4 linked regions of the Rattus norvegicus genome follow. The protein of the gene in region 1 purifies or fractionates together with the protein of each later gene. This does not show direct contact. Links are inferred from orthologs where the notes say so. Each region holds a gene or a part of one and is shown in the gene's direction. Other genes may lie near its edges.

Region 1 (4,176 bases):
TTCATTCACGCCCTCTTTCCTTCTTATTTTTCGTTTAATTTGTATTTATTTACTTAGTGTGTGCGTGTATGTGTGTGCAGGCATTGATTGTGTGTGTGTGTGTGTGTGTGTGTGTGTGTGTGTGTGTGTGTGTGTGTGCGCGTGCATGCATCACAGGGCTGGTGCAGAGCTCTGTGGACAGCTTGTAGGAGTCAGGACTCTCTTTCTACCAGGTAAGTCCTGGGGATTGAACTCAGGTCCTCGGTCTTGGCGGTCGCGCTTGCTGAAACCCTCTTACATTTTCTAGGCATGCGAGGGGATAGGCATTACTTTGCGGACAGGTAACTGGCGAGAAGATAGGTCAAGTCAGGGATGGCCTATGGAATGGTCGTCAACCATACATGAAGCAAAACCTGACTGATATATCTATGTCCATGACTTTTCCCCAGAGGAAGTCCGAGGTGGAGTTGACTCTTCAAGCATCCAAGCAAAATGGCACTGAGACTCGGGAGGTGTTTCTGGTCTTCATTTCGAACGAGAATGTCTTGGTGAAGCTCCAGGCCCCAGAAATCCCACTGCACTTGGTCTACGTGAGTGTATGATCCCTAATTCCAGGCAGGCTATGGGAAGCCCCTGCCTGGTGTCCCTTTCTGTGAGCAACGCAGCACACCATAAAGGCAGGGATAGGACCAGAAGGTGCCAGAGGAGGCAGAGGTGGGCAGTAAAGGTGAAGGCCCTCTCACAGATGGACACACAGACCAGCATGGTGGGGACACCACGGAAAATCCCCTCCCAAGTCCAACCGCAAGGGTCTGGCTTCCATTCCCAGAGTATCCTTCTCTTTATCACCGAGAGGGGAAGTCAGGTCCTAGAGACCTTCCCATGGTGCCTCTCCCTCCATTCCCTTCCTCACCTCCTTCCCAGGGTTTGGGAGCTGCCAGGGTTCTGTGTGCACTTGTAAGGCAAGCTCTGGCTGGAGGGTTGTAGCTGCAGCCTAGCCTGGTTGCACCTTTTTACTTGCATTTAACACTCACAGTGACAGCCTTGAGTCATCTGTAACAGATCACCACCCAGAGGTCAGAGGCCTGCCTTCAGTGTTGGGCGGGGCATAAGCCAGGAGACCGATAAGCGCCATGCGCCTGAGTCACGGCTGTAACCCTGTTTTACTGAGGTTAAAGCCTTCAGAGCAGGCAGTGTGTTCTATTATATCTCCTCTGAGCGCCATGCAGTCCCCCTTAATATCTAGCCTGAATCCCTCCTGCTGCTGCTTCTTCAGCTCAAAGGAGTCCTCTGGGTCACCTCTTCCAGGAAGTCCTCTTTATTTCTTTTCTTGGCCCAACAGACCCCAAAGGACCCTAAGGGAAGCAGTGGGGTTTGGGATCTCTCCAGACTCCCTGTCCCCAGCCAGCCAGAGGTCTTGGGTTGCATTTCTTTTCGAAATTAAATCGAATGTAATTTTATGTACTTGAGTGTTTTGTCTGCATGTGTGTCTGCGTACCAGATCTTGTGCCTAGAGAGGCCAGAAAAATATTGCGTTCCCTAGGACGCTAGTTACAGATGGTTGTGAGCTACCATGTGGGTGGCTGGGAACTGAACCTGGGCTCTTAAATCCAAGCCATCTTTCCAGACCTGTTTTTTGCTTTTCATGATAGGGTTTCTCTATGTAGGTTTGGCTGTCTCAGAACTCGCTCTGTAGACCAGGCTGGCCTCAAACTCAAGAGTTTTGCCTGCCTCTGCCTCTCAGGTGCTGGGATTAAAAGCACAAGCCACCACTGCCAGGCTCAAGCCTTGGTTTTTGTTATTTATTAAGTAAATATCCTGTACCTTCTATTACTTCGACTTCTCTAGTTTCTGAATGATGAGCTCCCAGGGTCGGCAGCACCTCATCTGTTTTCTTCCATTCACTCATTCACTGTTTTCTCATACCTTCCCCCTTTTCCCCTTCCACTTTCCCCTCCCCATGCATCCGCAGTACCTACTGTGTGTGGCAGGTATGAAGGTGCAGCTGGCATAACAGATCCGCAATGAACAATGGCTGGGGCCTACAATGTGTCAAGTGTGTGTGTGTGTGGGGGGGGGAGTGGACAAGAAGATTTCCCTTCCTGAACCCAGAGTGCAGACGGATACAGACAGTTGCTACATTGATGCCATTATACATGGTTTGAATAAGTGCCTCGTGGTGAGGCTAAGGCCAAGACCAGATGGACAAACGTGTGTCTGTAGCCATCACATGCAGGAGGAAGATGGTGCCAATATGGCTGTGCTAGAAGAGGTACCTGGGGGCTCTGGGCTGACTGACGACTTCTTTTTTTTTTTTTTTTTTTTTTTTTGGTTCTTTTTTTTTTTTTTTTTTTTTTCCGGAGCTAGGGACCGAACCCAGGGCCTTGCGCTTCCTAGGTAAGCGCTCTACCACTGAGCTAAATCCCCAGCCCCCGACTGACGACTTCTAAGCCTTGTCATTTGAGGTCTTGACTTCTTTTCTGCCAATGAACTGAGCTGACTCAGATTGGTTCCTGACCGGCAGGTAGGAAGTGACTCAGCACTCTGTGTCTCCACAGAACTCCAGCCTCGAGGTCTTCAAAGGACCAAAAGTCAACAGCACACCACTACCATCCTTTACCTCCAAGACACAGATCCTCGACTGGGCAGCCACCAAGGGCACCATTACCTCCATAGCAGCACTGGATGACCCCAAAAGCATTGTCCTCCGGCTGGGCCAAGGTCAGCTCCATCGGTTGCTTCTGGGTTCAGGTTCAGTTGCAGAAGAGACTGAACAAACCCCTGACTTGGGTACTACCAGCCTGCAGTGGCGTGTGATTTGCCCAAAGTCACACAGGCTGGATGGTGCCCTTCAAAGTTGGTGACTGCTTCTGCAGCAGGTATCGGATGAGAAATGCCAGCTTTTTGGCTGGAGATGCGGCTCCGTTGATAGGGTGCTTGCATAGGTTAAGCCCTAGAGCCCTAGACTAGCATGGTGGTAAGGACCTGTAATCTAAGCACTCAGGAGGCAGAGGCAGGAGAATAAGGAATTCAAGCCCATCCTCTGCAAGTTCACTCTGCAAGTTCAAGGTTTCCCTGGGGTTTGCTGGTCAGCCAGTCTAGTCAAATCTGTGAGCCAGGCTCAGTGAGACACTGTGTCTCAAAATAATGCCAAAAACAATGAAGAAAGACAGCTGACCTGTGCCGGGTGGGGGTGGAGGCGGGGGTGGGGCTGGGGCGGGGCTGGGGCGGAGGCGGGGCTGGGGGTACTGCACTACTTGATGTGTGTCTTGGCTCACTTGTCATGTTAACGCTGTGCTGACACAGGAGGAAACCGAGTTCAGCTACTCAGCTAGTAAGCCATCCCCCACCTGTTAGGCTCTGTCCTGAATGTCCCTACCATTGCCTTGTCTGAAAGCGGGGTAAGACCCTCTGATATATTTGTCTCCACAGACCCAAAGGCACCACCCTTCTGCTTCCCAGAAGCTCAGAAGGACATGGGCGTCACACTTGAATGGCAACCACGAACCCAGACACCAGTCCAAGGCTGCCACTTGGAAGGTGTGACTGGACACAAGGAGGCCTATGTCCTGAGGATTCGATCAGGTTCTGAGGCCGGGTAAGGGTGCTGGCCTCCTGAGCATGGCCCTCCCCAATCAGGTCCTATCCTCCAGGTGTATTACCAATCAGATGCTATCCTCTGGGTGTATTACCCAATCAGATCCTATCCTCCGCGTATATTGCTCAATCAGATCCTGCTACCCAATCAGATCCTATTACCCAATCAGATCCTGACCTCCGAGTGTATTACCCAATCAGATCCCAGCCTCCCGATGTGTTAACTTTCCCATTGCCGAGATAAAACACCACAACCAAGGCAATGTGTTTATTTTGGGCTCGCAGTTCCAGAGGGTTCACAACCGCAGAGTGGAGGTAGCAGGTACCTGGAGCAACAGCTAAGAGCTCACATCTTGAACCACACAGACAGGAGGCAGAGAGGGCACCAAAGCCCACCCCTTGTGGGCTACCTTCTCCAGGAAGGCCCCTAAGCCTTCCCAAACTGGGATCAAGTATTCAGATGCCCCAGACTTAGAGATGCCATCTCATTCAAACCAACACACCGGGTCTGTCTCCATGCTCAAGCCCACGACCTGTCTACCTGCTGCAGGCCCCGGACAGTGACGGTAACGGTGAAACTGAGTTGCACATCTGGGGATG
Region 2 (4,900 bases), on another chromosome or scaffold:
GTGCTTGCTGCACAACCACGAGGACCCGAGTTCAGGTCCCACCACCCACACAGAAAGCCCACCATTTGCTTCATGTGTGCCCATAGCTCCAGTGTTGTGGAGCAGAGACAGGAGAATCATTGGAGCTTGCTGGTCACCATCCTGGTTTTAGGTTCAGTGAGAGACCTTGTCTCAAATAAATAAGGCAGGTAGTGACAGAGAGGACTCTGGGTATCCTCTGGCTTCCATGTATGTGTGCACCCACACTCACTTGTGCACAGTGATACACACACACACACACACACACACACACACACACACACACAGCTGGCACAGATGCAGCTGAGACCCCAGTGCTGGGGAAGCAGAGGCAGGAGGATGTCTGGGTTGTTGACCAGCTGGTCAGGCCAATCTTCCATCTCCAGGATCCATGGGAAACTCATGCGAGTCAAGGGGCTGGAGAGCTGGCTCAGCAATTCAGAGCACTTGCTGTTTCTACAGAGACCCAGATTCAGTTCCCAGGACTCACAAAGTCACCTCCTGGACACGTGGCTAGTGCCGCCTTCGGTGACTCTCGTTCCAGAAGACTCTATGTCCTCTCATAGTCTCTTCTGCAACAGGCGTGCATGTGATGCACATGCAGACATGAAGGCAAGGTACTCACACATCAAATAAAATAAACCCTTAAAAACAAATCAGGTGAGGTGATTGAGGTACACATGGGATGTGAACTTACGGCCTCCACGTGCCCCACACAGACAGGTTCACACATGCACACGCGCACACCCACACACCCAAACCTACATGCACATGCATATGCACACACACACACGCACACACACACGCTCACGCACATGCACATGCATGCACACATGCACGCACACACACATACACCACAGAGATTGTCTCTGGAAAATGTGGTCACACCAGAAAGAATGAAAATTTTGATGGGTCTTCCTACTGATAGCCTTTCTACCTTCAGCCACGTATTTTCTGTCCTTACCTGAATTATCAAAGATTGATCATTGGAAAACAGAAAGCAGAACCCCCCAACCTAAGACACTTTTTATTTTATTTTTTATTCATTTTATTTTTGGTTTTCCAGGACAGTATAGCTTTAGCTGCCATAGAACTCACTCTGTAGACGAGGCTGGCCCCGAACTCGTAGAGTCCCGCCCACGTGCGCCATCCCAGCCTGGTCCCCAAAACACTTTTATTTCTTTAGTTTCTGACAGGCAACACCCTGAAAATACCAGCCCTACCGCGATCACAGGGCCAACTATTTGGCTTTACCCAGCAGACCACGCCCAGGAAATGGTCCTTCCAATCCGAGGCTCTACCCAGGTGCTCATTAGAAATGCAGACGCTGCCGGTTCAGACCTACTAAACCAGAACCTGCAGGTTAGCTAACTTCCTAGCCCAGAGTGATTAATTCGCACACTAAACTCGGAGACAAGCCCCTGGACTTTTGTTCCACAGTAAGAAACAGTCCTTTACAAACGTAATCACGCATGCATGTCCATAAAACTGAAACTAAGTTCTCATGAAGTGCTTACCGTTATTTTATTAGGGGAAACCACGTGTTCGGGACTCTGGAGCTACATTTCAGAGCTCCCTCCTGGGTCTCAACGGAGTTATGAAGTCCCTGGGAGCAATGCCTAGAAGGTGTAGGGGATGCTTGGAGGAGGGTATCAAGGAAAGTGGTTTACACCACCTTCTAGCTTGTTTTGCGAAACGTGCGCTTAGTCACTTCTGAGTTTGAACTTGGAGCCGGGACTTAGCAGGGTCGGGGTGAGTGGGAGCGCTGGGAGTGGGCAACTCAAAGTTCGTAGAGTCCCTCAAGGTCCAATCCAGCGGCCTTGATTGGTGGCCGGAGGAAGGCGAGGGCTGGAAGCTGGAGGAGAGGACCGGAGCTGGAAGGCTCTTGGGCGGCGAGAGGTCCTGCCCAGCTGTTGGCGAGGAGTTTCCTGTTTCCCTCCCGGCGCCCGGGTAAAGTTGATGAGTGAGTCACTCGCGCGCACCGACCGACGACACCCCCCGCGCGCGCACACGCTCGCCTGGGGGACGGAGCCCCAGCCTCCTGCGCAGCTCTCCTCGGCCGCCGGGGGCCTCCTCCGGGCCTCCGAGCTCCGGGGATCGCCGGCCACATCTGGCCCGCACCTCTGCCCAGCGCGCTCCGGGCGGCGCAGGCATCCTGAGAGGGCGAGGAATAAAGGCGCAGCCCGGGGTCCCCGAGGCTCGGTTCGCGGCGCCCCAGGGGCCGGTCTATGACGAGCGACGGGGGCTGCCATGGGTCGGGGGCTGCTCCGGGGCCTGTGGCCGCTGCACATCGTCCTGTGGACGCGCATCGCCAGCACGATCCCGCCGCACGTTCCCAAGTCGGGTGAGTGAGTGGCCGGGGCGCGACGCTGGGGGGTTCACTAGGGCTCCTCGCTCCTTCTCCAACCCCCAGGGCAGCGACTGACAGTCGGCCGCGGGACCCGGCGCGAGGGCGGAAACGGGAAGTTTGTAGCGGCCCGAGTCGGCTCGGGCCCGCGGGGTTCCGGGGAAGATCTCTCGCAAAAGAGCAGGACAGTCCACTTGCGGGGGACTTGGGGACGCTCCTGACCCCTTTGTGAGCGCACGAGAGGCGAGGGCGGCCACGAGGGGCCTGCATCCCCGGAAAGGGAAGTTTAAGAAGTTGGAAGTTGGAGGAGCATCGGCAGGGGACTGGCCGCCCAGCTGCTGCACACCTGGGCCGCTCACTGCCCGAGACACCGCGACTAAACCAGACTCCCAGCCCTCAGCTCTGCCACCTCGGGAGGGATTCTGGGCCGCGACTCACTGGGTACAAGTTAGAGAAAAGAACTGATCTCTAGCCTCACTGTTTCCTGGCCTGCTGGGATGCGGACCCAGTGAGGGTGGTCGGGTTGATGGCTGAGAAAAATTTGCTGCATGCCTACTAAGTGTTGGACTGCACGGGTACTGCCTGGAATTAAAGATCTCAGCAGCTGCGGTTCAGTGGAAACACCTAACCCGGGTTGCCCTCCAGGTCCCATCGCAGGGGTGGTGCAAGAACTAGGGCTCCTTCCTAAGAACTTTTTTGGGAAGTTTAAAGTCTGACATTTTAACCCTAAAGTTAGAATTGTTGCTGCTATCTGTGTAGGACCACTATCCGGGCAAATCTCGTGGCTCTGGGCCTCGGTTTCCCCTTGTGTATAACTCAGTGGTTCAGTTTGTGTAAGTTTACACTCTTTTCATCACTGGCTTTCCATGACCTTCCTTGGTGACTAAGAGGTGGCCAGGGTGGATTTGGGGTGAAACACAGAGGATGGGGTGGCCCTGTGTGTGCGTGTTGCCGGGCGCGGAGGTGGGGTTCGAGGGAGGGCTTTGAAGATGTCAGTAGTTGGAGTGATTTAACGGTTTTGGATCATATTGCAAACAGGAGCGGACCATCTCAGGGAAGAGTCCGATAAAGGAAAACAACAAAAATCCCACCAGGGTCTTAGTCGTTTCATAAACTCTGCTTTCGTGTCGTTGGTTTCCGTTAAAGGGCAGCTCCAGAAAGCCCAACTGTTTCTGATGTTACTCCAGCCTCTTAAAACTGGGCTGGGAGATTTGGCCCGGCTGGTAAGAGCATTTGCTGTGCAAGCTTGAGGACCTGAGTTCAAACCCCCCAGGGTCCGTATGCAAAGTTGGGCGTGGTTCATCGCCAGCCCAGTGGTAGTGAGAGAAGACTGAAGACCCTTTGGAAATTTCTAGATGCCAAGCTAGCTCTAGGTTCAGAGAGAGACTCCATGGAGAGTGACAGAGGGCACTTGGTGTCCTCCCCTGCCCCTTCCCATGCACACAGACCCTACCCCGAACACACATAAACACACGCAGGAAGAAAAAAATTAAAAGAAAAACTGCCGCGTTTTGCTGAAGACCATCCGAAAGAACACCCTTCTTTTTGTGTACATAAAACATTTGTTTTAGCTCGGGAAGAACCAAAGTCCAGAGGCCCCAGTTTGAGTTTTGTTTACAAGAGTGAGATTTGCGATTTTCGAGTTCCAGGCTCTGTAGCTTGTGGGTCATTTATACACAGTTTTAAACAATTAGCTGATGGGCTTGGTGGGTCTTGTTAATTTGGGCTTTAAATGATTTTATAAAACAGAGAGTTTTTTCTTTTTAAACATTTTATGGAATTGCTATTCCAGAATGTTTGGACAGTTCATTTTGAGTTGTACCCATGTGGATCAAAGTCTTTAAAGATGGTTTAAAGTTGGTCCCAGGGAAAGGATGTGTGGAATTCCACTTGCCTTTTCAGTTTCCAGAGAAGAAAAGGGTATTGGGATTTCTCTGACATAGTGGTAAACTGTGAGAATGTTTCTCAAGATAACTTTAATGCAAGAGACAATGAGAAGGAAGGAGGATTCTTTACAAAGCCCTAGTCAGTCCTAAACAAACAAATATCTCATGCTGACCAGCCTGGCAAGTGAACAAGCGATTTCAGTGTAAGAGAAATTCACACTAAAGAAAATTATTTAAAACTTCTTTTCCTCATGTTTCTCTGAGGGTGCTGTACATGAGTACTGGACTAGGGTGGGCACACCCTTGGGTGCTCATGGGTGTGGAGGCTGGAGGTTGACAGAGGGTGCTCATGGGTGTGGAGGCTGCAGGTTGACAGAGGGTGCTCATGGGTGTGGAGGCTGGAGGTTGACAGAGAGAGGGTGGTCTTCAGTTGTTCCACTTCATTTACTCAGGCAGGCTTCTTAGATGGTGCAAGGATTCTAGTTGAACCCACAGTGCACTGCGTGGGTTTGTCCTGCTAACCAGCTTGTCTTGGAGAACCCCAGAGTCTGCCTCCTGGGTGCTGGCACTAGAGGTCACCAACACATCCTTCTGGCCATTTATGTGGGCGCTGGGGATCTGATTTCAGGTCCCCATACTTGCATGACAA
Region 3 (4,763 bases), on another chromosome or scaffold:
TGGAAACCTGGAGTGGGTGACAGACCAAGGGATCTACGTAGGTAACCCACTGCATGGGGTTCCAATATGCAGAGGAAAGGCAGGTTAGGGAGGTGGACTCTTGCTTGCACGTCTCAGAGAGATGTCTTGTTGATAGCCATTACCCACATCTGATAAAGTCTGCCATTAATGGCTTCCTGCCCACAGCCTTGGAACATGCCCCGTCTGCATTTACCCACAGAAACCCTGCAGAGTCCTAACTGGTTACTAGCAGGGGCAAGAGGCAGGTCAGAACCTGGGACACAGTTGCAACAGCAGGGCAGGTTTCTATTTCCTCCCTCAGACCAGGCCTCTGGGGCAGAGGAAACCCAGGCAGGAAGGCTGGGGCTTCCACTAGCCAGAAAGGTCCACCAAGCCCCTCAGCCTGACCCTAGACATCCTGCCCCCCAAAAAGCATCCTGGGTCTCCATTCAATACCAAGCTTAGAGCATGGGCCTCTGTAGTGTAAGCGACCAGTCCTTCCAGACTTCTGGTGTCTTCTCACAGGACACTCCACATGTTGGTTCCTGAGCTGAGGATCTAGCCTGCACACCCTGCTATTCGGAAAGTCTGTGTTCCCGTCTGACCGAGGCTCCTCTTGCTACAGGCTCAGCACTTGTCTGCTGGCTCTGGGGCTGTGAGAAGGGAAGAGTGGTGCAGCTTCTGAAGCAGTAGTTGGTTTGGGTCCTGAGTTGAGGACTGTCATCTCCCAGAGTCACGTCTCTCACCAGCGTCCGTCAAACTTCTGGAAGAGTGAAACCCCAGGCAACTCTTCGAGGTCAAACACTCAGTGTCTAAGTATGTTTCACTTCCTGTACCACTGGCCCTCCCCCAGCCCTTTCCCAGGACAGCAAGAAGAGAGAAGGGGGCCCAGATGGCTCCAAGGGAGAAACGGGCTTTTTATAGCTAGTCACTGTCAGGCTGTATAGGGTTGCTGGAGGATGCAGGCAGAGGTTGGCTCCACCAGCTCAGAACACAGAGAAGAAGGAACAGTTTGGGGAGGTGGGGTCTATACTCTCGGGTTAGACTCCTGTTACTGCAAAAGAATTCTTTTTTTTTTTTTGGTTCTTTTTTTCAGAGCTGGGGACCGAACCCAGGGCCTTGCGCTTCCTAGGCAAGCGCTCTATCACTGAGCTAAATCCCCAACCCCCTGCAAGACAATTCTAATGGGATCTGAGAGGCCTCCTCCCCTGGGTGAGCCTTACTCTCCCCACTTTAAAACCAGAGCTGCAGGGGCTGAGGAGACGGCTCAGCGGTTAAGAGCTCTGACTGATCTTCCAAGAGGTCCTGAGTTCAAATCCCAGCAACCCCATGGTGGCTCACAGTCATCAGTAATGGGATCCAATGCCCTCTTCTGGTGTGTCTGAGGACAGTTGCAGTTTACTTATATAGAATAAATAAACAAACAAATAAATAAAGCTTAAAAAAAAACAGAGCAGCAGGGGAGGGGAACGAAGAGCTGGTACAGCGGAGGTAAAGATGCTTGCTACACAAGCTAGGTGACCCGAGTCCCATCCCCAGCACCCATGTGAAGGTGGAAGGAGAAAAACAGCTCTACAGGATCGACTTCTCACACTCGTACCTTGGCACAAGGACCCTTACAGGCAGACACAATAATAAAGACGACATTTTTTTTTTTAAATCCGAGCTGGGGTTGATGGTGCATAGGGTACCCACACAGACTTCACGCGGTCGTCTCGGCTCCAGGTTGCCCCTACCCTGAGCTCCCGGCTGTGCGTGACTCCAGCGTGTTCTATCCAGACTTCAATCTAAACAATCTTGATTCCTGTAGCCGGCCTGGCGGGACCCTGAATGGCAGGAAGTGAGGACGGGACCTGTTTATGTTTGAAGCAGCCTGGCTTTGGGAGGGGGGGGGGCACTGGGAAAGGGTGGGCAGGGTGATGGGCAAATGACTGAGGACAAGAGACGAGCTATAAGAGAGACGTTCTTCCGCTGTAGCTCTGTCGGTCTGCAACCCTCCCGGCCTGATCCCCTCTAAACTCAGCAGTGGGAGCAGAGCCATGGTCCTCTCTGGCTCTCTTCTAAACATAGCTCTCCACCCCTTACCCCCAGCAGACGGTTTCCATGGGGAAGTGAACCGGGACTTCCCTTGCAAGCCACGCCCTGAAACCAGACGTAGGAGTTGGGAGGTGGCTTCTCTGCCTCCCCCCCACAAAAAAACCTCTTGGTGATTTCCTCCTGGTAGGAGGAGACCTTGGTCACCACAGCTATCACAGTTTGCAGATCTCGTCACATCTCTTCTCCTCCTATCTCCAAGGACCATGACCCTGGGGATTTTCCGAAGGGTCTTTTTGATGCTGTCGGTGGCCTTGGGCCTAACTAAGGGTGAGTATTGGGAGGGGCAGCATGGGGACCTGAATGGAAGGAGGCTATCTGGGTTCAGGTCAGCTTTTGCTAGGACTGGAACTTGGGGGCTGAGAACAGGGCCCTGGCTGGAGGAGGGACAGTAGTCCCGTAGACTAGGCCCCCAAGCTGTTCCCACCTTCCTTTATATCTTCGTGACACTGAGTTGCAAGCCAAGGCTCCTTCCAGGATAGAACCTACGTCTTGGGTGGAGAGAACAAGAGGGAGGCTTATTATTCTCTGTGAACACTCTCTGTGAACAGGGGGAGCCTGGGACCATTGGAGGACCTGTAGTAGGGAGAGGAGGTCCCAGTACAGACTGTAGACAGAAACTGGCTTCTCAGTCTTCACTGCCTGTAGCTAGGGGCAAGGCTCAGAGAGAAGAACAGTTAGGGGATGGGATTAAAGGACCAAGGCTTGAGGGGCTTGCCTGTGAGATCAGAAGGGATGGGACAGTAGGAAGAGTGCCTAAATTTCTCATGACCCCCAGGAGACTTGGTGAAGCCCTCCAGGGGTCAGCTGGTAAACTGCACTTGTGAGAACCCACACTGCAAGAGGCCAATCTGCCAGGGGGCATGGTGCACAGTGGTGCTAGTTCGAGAGCAGGGCAGGCACCCCCAGGTCTATCGGGGCTGCGGGAGCCTGAACCAGGAGCTCTGCCTGGGACGTCCCACGGAGTTTGTGAACCATCACTGCTGCTATAGATCCTTCTGCAACCACAATGTGTCCCTGATGCTGGAGGGTACGTCGGGTGTTCTCCCACTCTTCCTCTTATTAAACTATGCCCCCTGCCCTTCTTTCTTCTCATGCCCTGGTTCACATGGAGAGGGTGTGGGGAGGCAGGATGCTGGGATCTGACTGTAAGTGGTCTGGCTCAGGGTCAGGAGAGCTAGCCTGGTAGAGCTGGGACTCAATGTCCCCCTCCTCCAGCCACCCAAACTCCTTCGGAGGAGCCAGAAGTAGATGCCCATCTGCCTCTGATCCTGGGTCCCGTGCTGGCCTTGCTGGTCCTGGTGGCCCTGGGCACTCTGGGCTTGTGGCGTGTCCGGAGAAGGCAGGAGAAGCAGCGGGGTCTGCACAGTGACCTGGGCGAGTCCAGTCTCATCCTGAAGGCATCGGAACAGGGAGACAGCATGTTGGGGGTATGGCCTGGGGCAGCCCGGGATACCAGGGTAGAGGGTGGGTGTGGAGAGAGGAGCTATGGTATCAGGGGTCACCCAATGATGACAGTGAGAGTCAAGCTGTGATATAGCAGTGGAGCCAGCAGTGGCAGAGAATGGAGAAGGCAGTGGTTGATGGGGGGTAGCCACTGACTAACTACTCGTTATCCTCAGGACTTCCTGGTCAGCGACTGTACCACAGGCAGCGGCTCAGGGCTACCCTTCTTGGTGCAGAGGACAGTAGCGCGACAGGTTGCACTGGTGGAGTGTGTGGGTAAGCACTCAGTGAGCTGGGGATAGACCTGGGGAGGTCAGGAAGCTCTTGGCTTCCAGGATCCAGCCTGGATCCAGCCTGGGCCAGAGTAAGATACTCTGCTAGGTAGGGTTGGTTCTGGGCCAAGGTCAGGTCATTTTTGCAAGGACAGGGATGAACTGATAAGCTAAGAGTAGCCCAAAGCTGGGACAAGATGTTAATAAAGGTATATTTTCAGGTTTGAGGAGAGCCATAGGGCTTAGCAGGGGAAGGCACTAGAACCAAGACTGATGGCCCAAATCCAATCCCTGCGACGTACTCGTCGAGAGGAGAGAACCATCTTCCTCAGATTGTCCTCTGACCTCCACATGTGATCCCATTTAGTGTGTATCACACACACACACACACACACGAATAAATAAATAAATAAATAAATAAATAAATAAATAAATAAATGAAAAATATTGTGATCTAGAAGGCAGCTGGGGTTTTTGGCACATGCCTTTAATACCAGCACTAGGGAGGCAGAGGCAGGCAGATCTCTGTGAGTCCAAGGCCAGCCTGGTCTACATCGCAAGTTCCAAATCAGCAAGACAAATGAGACCTTATACTTAAAAAAAAAAAAAAGTTAAAAATAAATAAAATCGGATTTTTGCAGAGGGGATCTATCTTCATAGCATCCGGAATTGGGGTGGGGGTTTTTAAGGACTATGTGTGTCTAGTGCGTGGTCCTTATTCTTCCCTTGGCCACGGATTAGGAAAGGGCCGATATGGCGAGGTGTGGCGCGGTTCGTGGCATGGCGAGAGTGTGGCGGTCAAGATTTTCTCCTCACGAGATGAGCAGTCCTGGTTCCGGGAGACAGAGATCTACAACACAGTTCTGCTTAGACACGACAACATCCTAGGCAAGCTAGGGGACATGTCTGCTCTCCCAGGCCAAGGCACCCCAACTCCCTCAACTCAGGGCT
Region 4 (4,937 bases), on another chromosome or scaffold:
AGAGGAAAAAATTCCTATGAGATTAATTATTCATGCATAGAATAAAAACTCTCTTGAGATCTTATGCAAGGCACAGACTAGATCAGAAAAAGAAGAGGGGAGGGGCATCTTGGCATGTGGCTGTAACCCCAGCCCTGGGGGAGGGGAGGTGGGAGACTAAGGCAGGAGGATTCCAAATTTCAGTCTAGCCTGAGATCCTGTCTGTAAAAAACAAGGGCTGGGGGCCGGGGCCATGGGTGAATAGTTAAGAGACTGCTCTGGCAGAGGAAGTGGTTCTGTTCTTAGCATTCTTGTCGGGTAGCCCACAACCACCTGCAACTCCAGTTCCAAGTAATTGGACGCCCTCTTCTGGACTCCACAAGCACTACATGCACGTGGTGCACATAGGAGCTGGACCCAATCTTTAAAAAAATAACAAGAACTGGGGCCGTAGCTTATCAGTAGAGAGTATTTGCCTAGCTATTAGTAGAGTACTTGCCGAGGAAGTACAAGGCTTTGGGGGTGGGGGTGAGGCGGGGATAGGCACTGGAGATTTCGGGTGTGACAGCCCCTTTAAGTCTTTCAGAGAGATTGCCTTAGAAGCTAGTCAAATTTAGTCTCTGTAGCCTCGGTGCAGGGGAGCTAGGAACTGATCGTTCTGCAGTCCCAGAGAGCAGGCCTGTTCAGGTTCTGGCAGGTTAGGACTTGCTCAAGCGTGTCCTAGCTGGAGCCGAGAAGCAGTCTCAGACCCCAGCTCTAACCCCCACGGTTTGCTTTCATAAGCAGGATCAAACTCTTGGAGAGTGGCTGTAAAACAATTTACTAACAGATACTAGAGGCCGGCTGGTTCCTACTACCGAGCTTCATTTAATTCCGAGTTCAAATCATACAGAAAATAAAATTTTCTCCTTAAAAGGTTCTGCGGAAAAATGCTGTCGGTGCCATGCGGCCGCCTCCGTGACTGTGTTTGTGTCTGAAGAAAGGACTAGTCTGACAGGAAGAATTACAAATCTGGAGCTCATTTTGGCATCCCAGAGGGAAGGTGGGTGGAGCGTCTCACAGTAAATTAGGAATTCAGAATGAAAGCGGAGCTGAGTTTATTTGGGTTTTTAGTGACACCTCGAAATTATTACACAGGCGTGTCGGAGACAGCTCTAAGTACCTATGACTGCTCCCGCTTCGCCCCGAATCCCCCATCATTCAAAACCCGTAGGCCTCTCCGCTTCCACGCGGGGTCAGGAAGGTGGGAGGGAAGGAGAGCGGCGGGGACCCACAGTCTGTTTATACTGCCGAGAGACACAGGCCACTCAGGGGTGTGTCTGAGCTCCGCCTCGGGATTCAGAATCTGGGCTCCGACTTTGGGACTGGAATTTGAGGAGGGCAAGACTAGGTCTGGGGCGGCCATAGAGTGCGGGAAGAAATCGGGTTATCTTTGCGGGGAGGCTGGGAATTGAGGAGCGGGTCTAGGGAGAAGAAGTTGAACCGCGGACCGTATTGAGGGTCGGAGTGGCGATAGTTGAGCTTTGCCGGTGCAGGACTGTGCAGGGAAAGTCAGGGTGGGGTTGGAGTAGAAGAAAAGAGCGAGCAACGTCCACAGTCTTTCCCTGAGCAACTCTTACGGGCACACCCAGCGCTTAGTCCGGACTGCGGGCTCCCTCGGGCGCGCAGGCTGGACCCTGCCCCCACCCGCCGGTAGAGTACGAGCTACCCTGCTGTGGCTGGAGTATAGGCGCCCAGCGGTGAGGGGGCGTGGCCAGAGGCCCAGCAGTGCGGAGGCGTGGTTAGAGGCAGAAGTCCAGGGCCGCTCATTGGCCGCCCAGGGGCCCCGAGGGCGGGGCTCTCCGCTGGGTCCCTCTAGGGCGCTCGCGGGCGGCGGGGGAGGCGGGGTCGGCGGGAGCTGGGCAGCCAATGGGCGTGCGCCCCTCGAGCAGTTACAAAGGGCCGGAGCGAGGCCGCAGCGGCGGCGGGGAGGTGGGGCGAGGAGAGGCGAGGCTTGTTGAGGAGAAGCTGAGGCCGGGGCCGGGCCGGGCCACAAACAGTGGCAGCGGGACCATGGAGGCGGCGTCGGCTGCTTTGCGTCGCTGCCTGCTTCTCATCGTGTTGGTGGCGGCGGCGACGCTGCTCCCGGGGGCGAAGGGTGAGTGGCGGGCGGGTGGCTGTGGGGCGCGCGAGCCGGGCCCGGCCTCTGGCTCGCTTCAGCTCTTTCTCAAACATGGCGCGGGGCCGGGGGCGCAGGTGGCGGCGCCGGGCCGGCCGAGCTTTCCTGACCCGGCAGGCGCCACGCGAGCCGGGGCGGGGAGGAGAGGCGGGGCGGGGGCGGTGTCGAGCGCGGGTGGCCGAACACCGAGCGGAGGCCTGCCCTCTTGGGCTCCCGGGAGCAGCGGCTGGCGAGCCTGCTGAGGTCTGTGGCTGCCCTCGGGGGTGTGAGGCCGGCGGGGACCGTGGCCCCCTGATTCCACTGCCTAAGTGCTCTCCGGCCTGAGACTGTTAGGGCGTGGGCGGGCACCGGCGTGGAGGCGCTCCGGGGCTCGGCGCGTGGAGGGCTCCTCGGAGGGTCGTAAGGGGCGCCGTGGGCAGAGATCCCGGGTGGGCCGCACTGCTGTGAGTGTCGGCGCCCGCCTAGGGCGACTTTTCTTCAACCGGGGGCTTTGTGTGAGAAGCAGGCGCGAAGATGCGCGGAATGTTCTCTCTTCGTGCGTCTGGGAAGAGTTGAGAGTTCAGTAACCAGAAGATTGCCTTGCTAGTAGAAACTTGAACGTTTGCTCACTCTGCAGACTTGGGATCGTTTGAATGGGAATGATTCTGTAGAATTGATCAAAGATTTCTTTTTCTCGACGGGATCGTTGCTTTGGGTGTATCGTTTCCTTAAGCAGTAGTCTTAAAATCAGACCTCTATGTAGCTGGCTTTTGAAGGGAAAATGTGTAGTTTTCCAAAATATTAAAACCGGCCGTGATACGGTTGTCACCCCGTGGAGGGAAGATTGAAAAACTTAGTCCGGAACCGATTAAAATAGGAGAAAGCAAAATACTGAGGCTCAGATTAGCAACTAAAATACAGTGAAAATACATGTCTGTTGCTGAAATTGGATAACATTTTAAAAAGCAAAGCATACCAAAACAAAAATCTCTCCAGACTGTGGATGCCAGCTGTTATTAAACTTAATAGTAACTGTTTATTGGGAGTTGATTATAATGCAGATGTAAAAGGCACAGTATCTCGGGGCACAGAACCCTCGGGGCTACCAGTACTTGTCCTGTACATTGACTTGAAAACTGAGGTGCAGGAGATTACGTTCTTAGTAAGTGCAGAAATTAATTTGTACTTAGGCCTTTCTGGGCTCAAAATCAGTGCACCTGCTATACCGTAGCATAGCCCACTTAAAGAACAGTTGATATTTGACACTTAGAACTTAGCCATCAGTTTCTTAGTTTACTTGAACTTGAACAACCTAGTACTTGAACATTCCCTTCACAAAGGTCTTCATTAGAAGATACCATGGGTTTTTGACATTGGCTTAGGAAGGGAATAACGGTGGACAAAGTGGGGGAATTGTTATAATTATTCACCAACTATAAGTGGCCATATCTCTACAATTATTTGAATAAAGTAATTCTTTTCTACCTAAAACAAAGCAAGACACGTTCATGCATTTAGCAGTATTGACTTAGATGCTGAGAAGGTTGGTCCGTGTCCTGGAGGATTTTATTACTCAAAACCTAGACTAGTACTTCATAAACTTTCCCCGTTTGCCATCCTCTTTTCTCAAAAGATTGTACGTGACCTTGAGTACAAAATGTAGAAAGCAAGTATATAATTCAGATGTGCTGATAATAGATCATAAATGAAATTATTTTAAAACAATTCATTGGTACATACAATTTTACTATTTATTAAAGATTCAAGCACATTTTCATAGTAATGAGATGGGTGAGTTTATTTTTACTTAAAGAATTAAATCATCCAATGCCAACGACTCCATATAATTGTTTAGGGCCATTTCAGACATTGTTGAAAATTCTCTCTTAATCACAAGATGAAATTTATTTAATAATTTTTTATTTATATAAGTATGCTGTAGCTGTCTTCAGACACACCAGAAGAGGGCATCAGATCTTATTACAGATGGCTGTGAGCTACCATGTGGTTGCTGGGAATTGAACTCAGGACCTCTGGAAGGGCAGTCGATGCCCTTAACCACTGAGCCGTCTCTCCAGACCTCATTTAATAATTTTTAAAATGAAATTTAAGTCAGCAACTTAAACAGCAGTTTTTAAAATCAGACATTCTAACACAATACAGTCGATCTACAATCGATCACAAATATACCACTTTGATATACATGAAGGATGAAAGCCTTTTCTGTATGTATGTTTCTGGAAGAATAGAAAACTTTTTATTTAATAAAAAACATTAAAACTTATAAAAATAAATGTTAGCACTGCATAACACGACAGCAAGTGTGTTTAGAACCAAGGGTGTTGTGAAGTTGCATCATGTAACACAAGCATGCATTGCCAGAAACACTTCAGATTCATTACTCATTTGATTTTTAATTAATTTGGAGTGTTATACATTCAGAAGTCCTTGAGTATTGCCAGATTGTTGTATGACCCAGCACCTCTATAAGGAGTTAGGATTCAGTTTAAGAAGCTATGGCCTCTTGGTCCTGTGAAGGCTGGATGCCCCAGTGTTGTAGGGGAATGCCAGGGTGGGAAGGCAGGAGGGGAGCGGGTGGGTGGGGAGCACCCTCATAGAAGCAGGGGGAGGGAGGATGGGATAGGGAGTTTCCAAAGGGGAAGCCAGGAAAGGGGATAACATTTGAAATGTAAATAAAAAAGTATCCAATAAAAGAAAAGAAAAAAAAGAAGCTATGACCTGCTGGGCCTTGTGACTCATGCCTTTAAACTAAGCACTCAAGAAGCAGAGGCAGACAGATTCTGGTCTATATAGTGAGTTC

Evidence for each region. Proteins that work in one complex are often made in the same cells at the same time.
Region 2: the proteins of Eng (region 1) and Tgfbr2 purify together in Homo sapiens (affinity purification with western blotting; 3 studies listed by BioGRID). This does not show direct contact. The link is inferred for Rattus norvegicus from reciprocal best matches to the Homo sapiens genes ENG and TGFBR2.
Region 3: the proteins of Eng (region 1) and Acvrl1 purify together in Homo sapiens (affinity purification with western blotting; 3 studies listed by BioGRID and IntAct, with this or other methods). This does not show direct contact. The link is inferred for Rattus norvegicus from reciprocal best matches to the Homo sapiens genes ENG and ACVRL1.
Region 4: the proteins of Eng (region 1) and Tgfbr1 purify together in Homo sapiens (affinity purification with western blotting; 5 studies listed by BioGRID and IntAct, with this or other methods). This does not show direct contact. The link is inferred for Rattus norvegicus from reciprocal best matches to the Homo sapiens genes ENG and TGFBR1.

The regions. Positions count from the first base shown.
Region 1 is NC_086021.1:36,355,995-36,360,170, forward strand, and holds part of Eng (endoglin precursor), read left to right. Parts: intron 1-428; coding exon 429-569; intron 570-2,537; coding exon 2,538-2,700; intron 2,701-3,411; coding exon 3,412-3,577; intron 3,578-4,126; coding exon 4,127-4,176. UniProt on the Homo sapiens protein: Vascular endothelium glycoprotein that plays an important role in the regulation of angiogenesis. Required for normal structure and integrity of adult vasculature. Regulates the migration of vascular endothelial cells.
Region 2 is NC_086026.1:124,758,482-124,763,381, reverse strand, and holds the start of Tgfbr2 (TGF-beta receptor type-2 precursor), read left to right. Parts: upstream 1-1,912; 5' UTR 1,913-2,268; coding exon 2,269-2,362; intron 2,363-4,900. UniProt on the Homo sapiens protein: Transmembrane serine/threonine kinase forming with the TGF-beta type I serine/threonine kinase receptor, TGFBR1, the non-promiscuous receptor for the TGF-beta cytokines TGFB1, TGFB2 and TGFB3.
Region 3 is NC_086025.1:134,122,452-134,127,214, forward strand, and holds the start of Acvrl1 (serine/threonine-protein kinase receptor R3 precursor), read left to right. Parts: upstream 1-1,775; 5' UTR 1,776-1,840; intron 1,841-2,091; exon of another isoform or gene 2,092-2,224; 5' UTR 2,225-2,300; coding exon 2,301-2,364; intron 2,365-2,872; coding exon 2,873-3,124; intron 3,125-3,260; exon of another isoform or gene 3,261-3,312; coding exon 3,313-3,524; intron 3,525-3,716; coding exon 3,717-3,816; intron 3,817-4,553; coding exon 4,554-4,700; intron 4,701-4,763. UniProt on the Homo sapiens protein: Type I receptor for TGF-beta family ligands BMP9/GDF2 and BMP10 and important regulator of normal blood vessel development. On ligand binding, forms a receptor complex consisting of two type II and two type I transmembrane serine/threonine kinases.
Region 4 is NC_086023.1:66,447,449-66,452,385, forward strand, and holds the start of Tgfbr1 (TGF-beta receptor type-1 precursor), read left to right. Parts: upstream 1-1,949; 5' UTR 1,950-2,031; coding exon 2,032-2,116; intron 2,117-4,937. UniProt on the Homo sapiens protein: Transmembrane serine/threonine kinase forming with the TGF-beta type II serine/threonine kinase receptor, TGFBR2, the non-promiscuous receptor for the TGF-beta cytokines TGFB1, TGFB2 and TGFB3.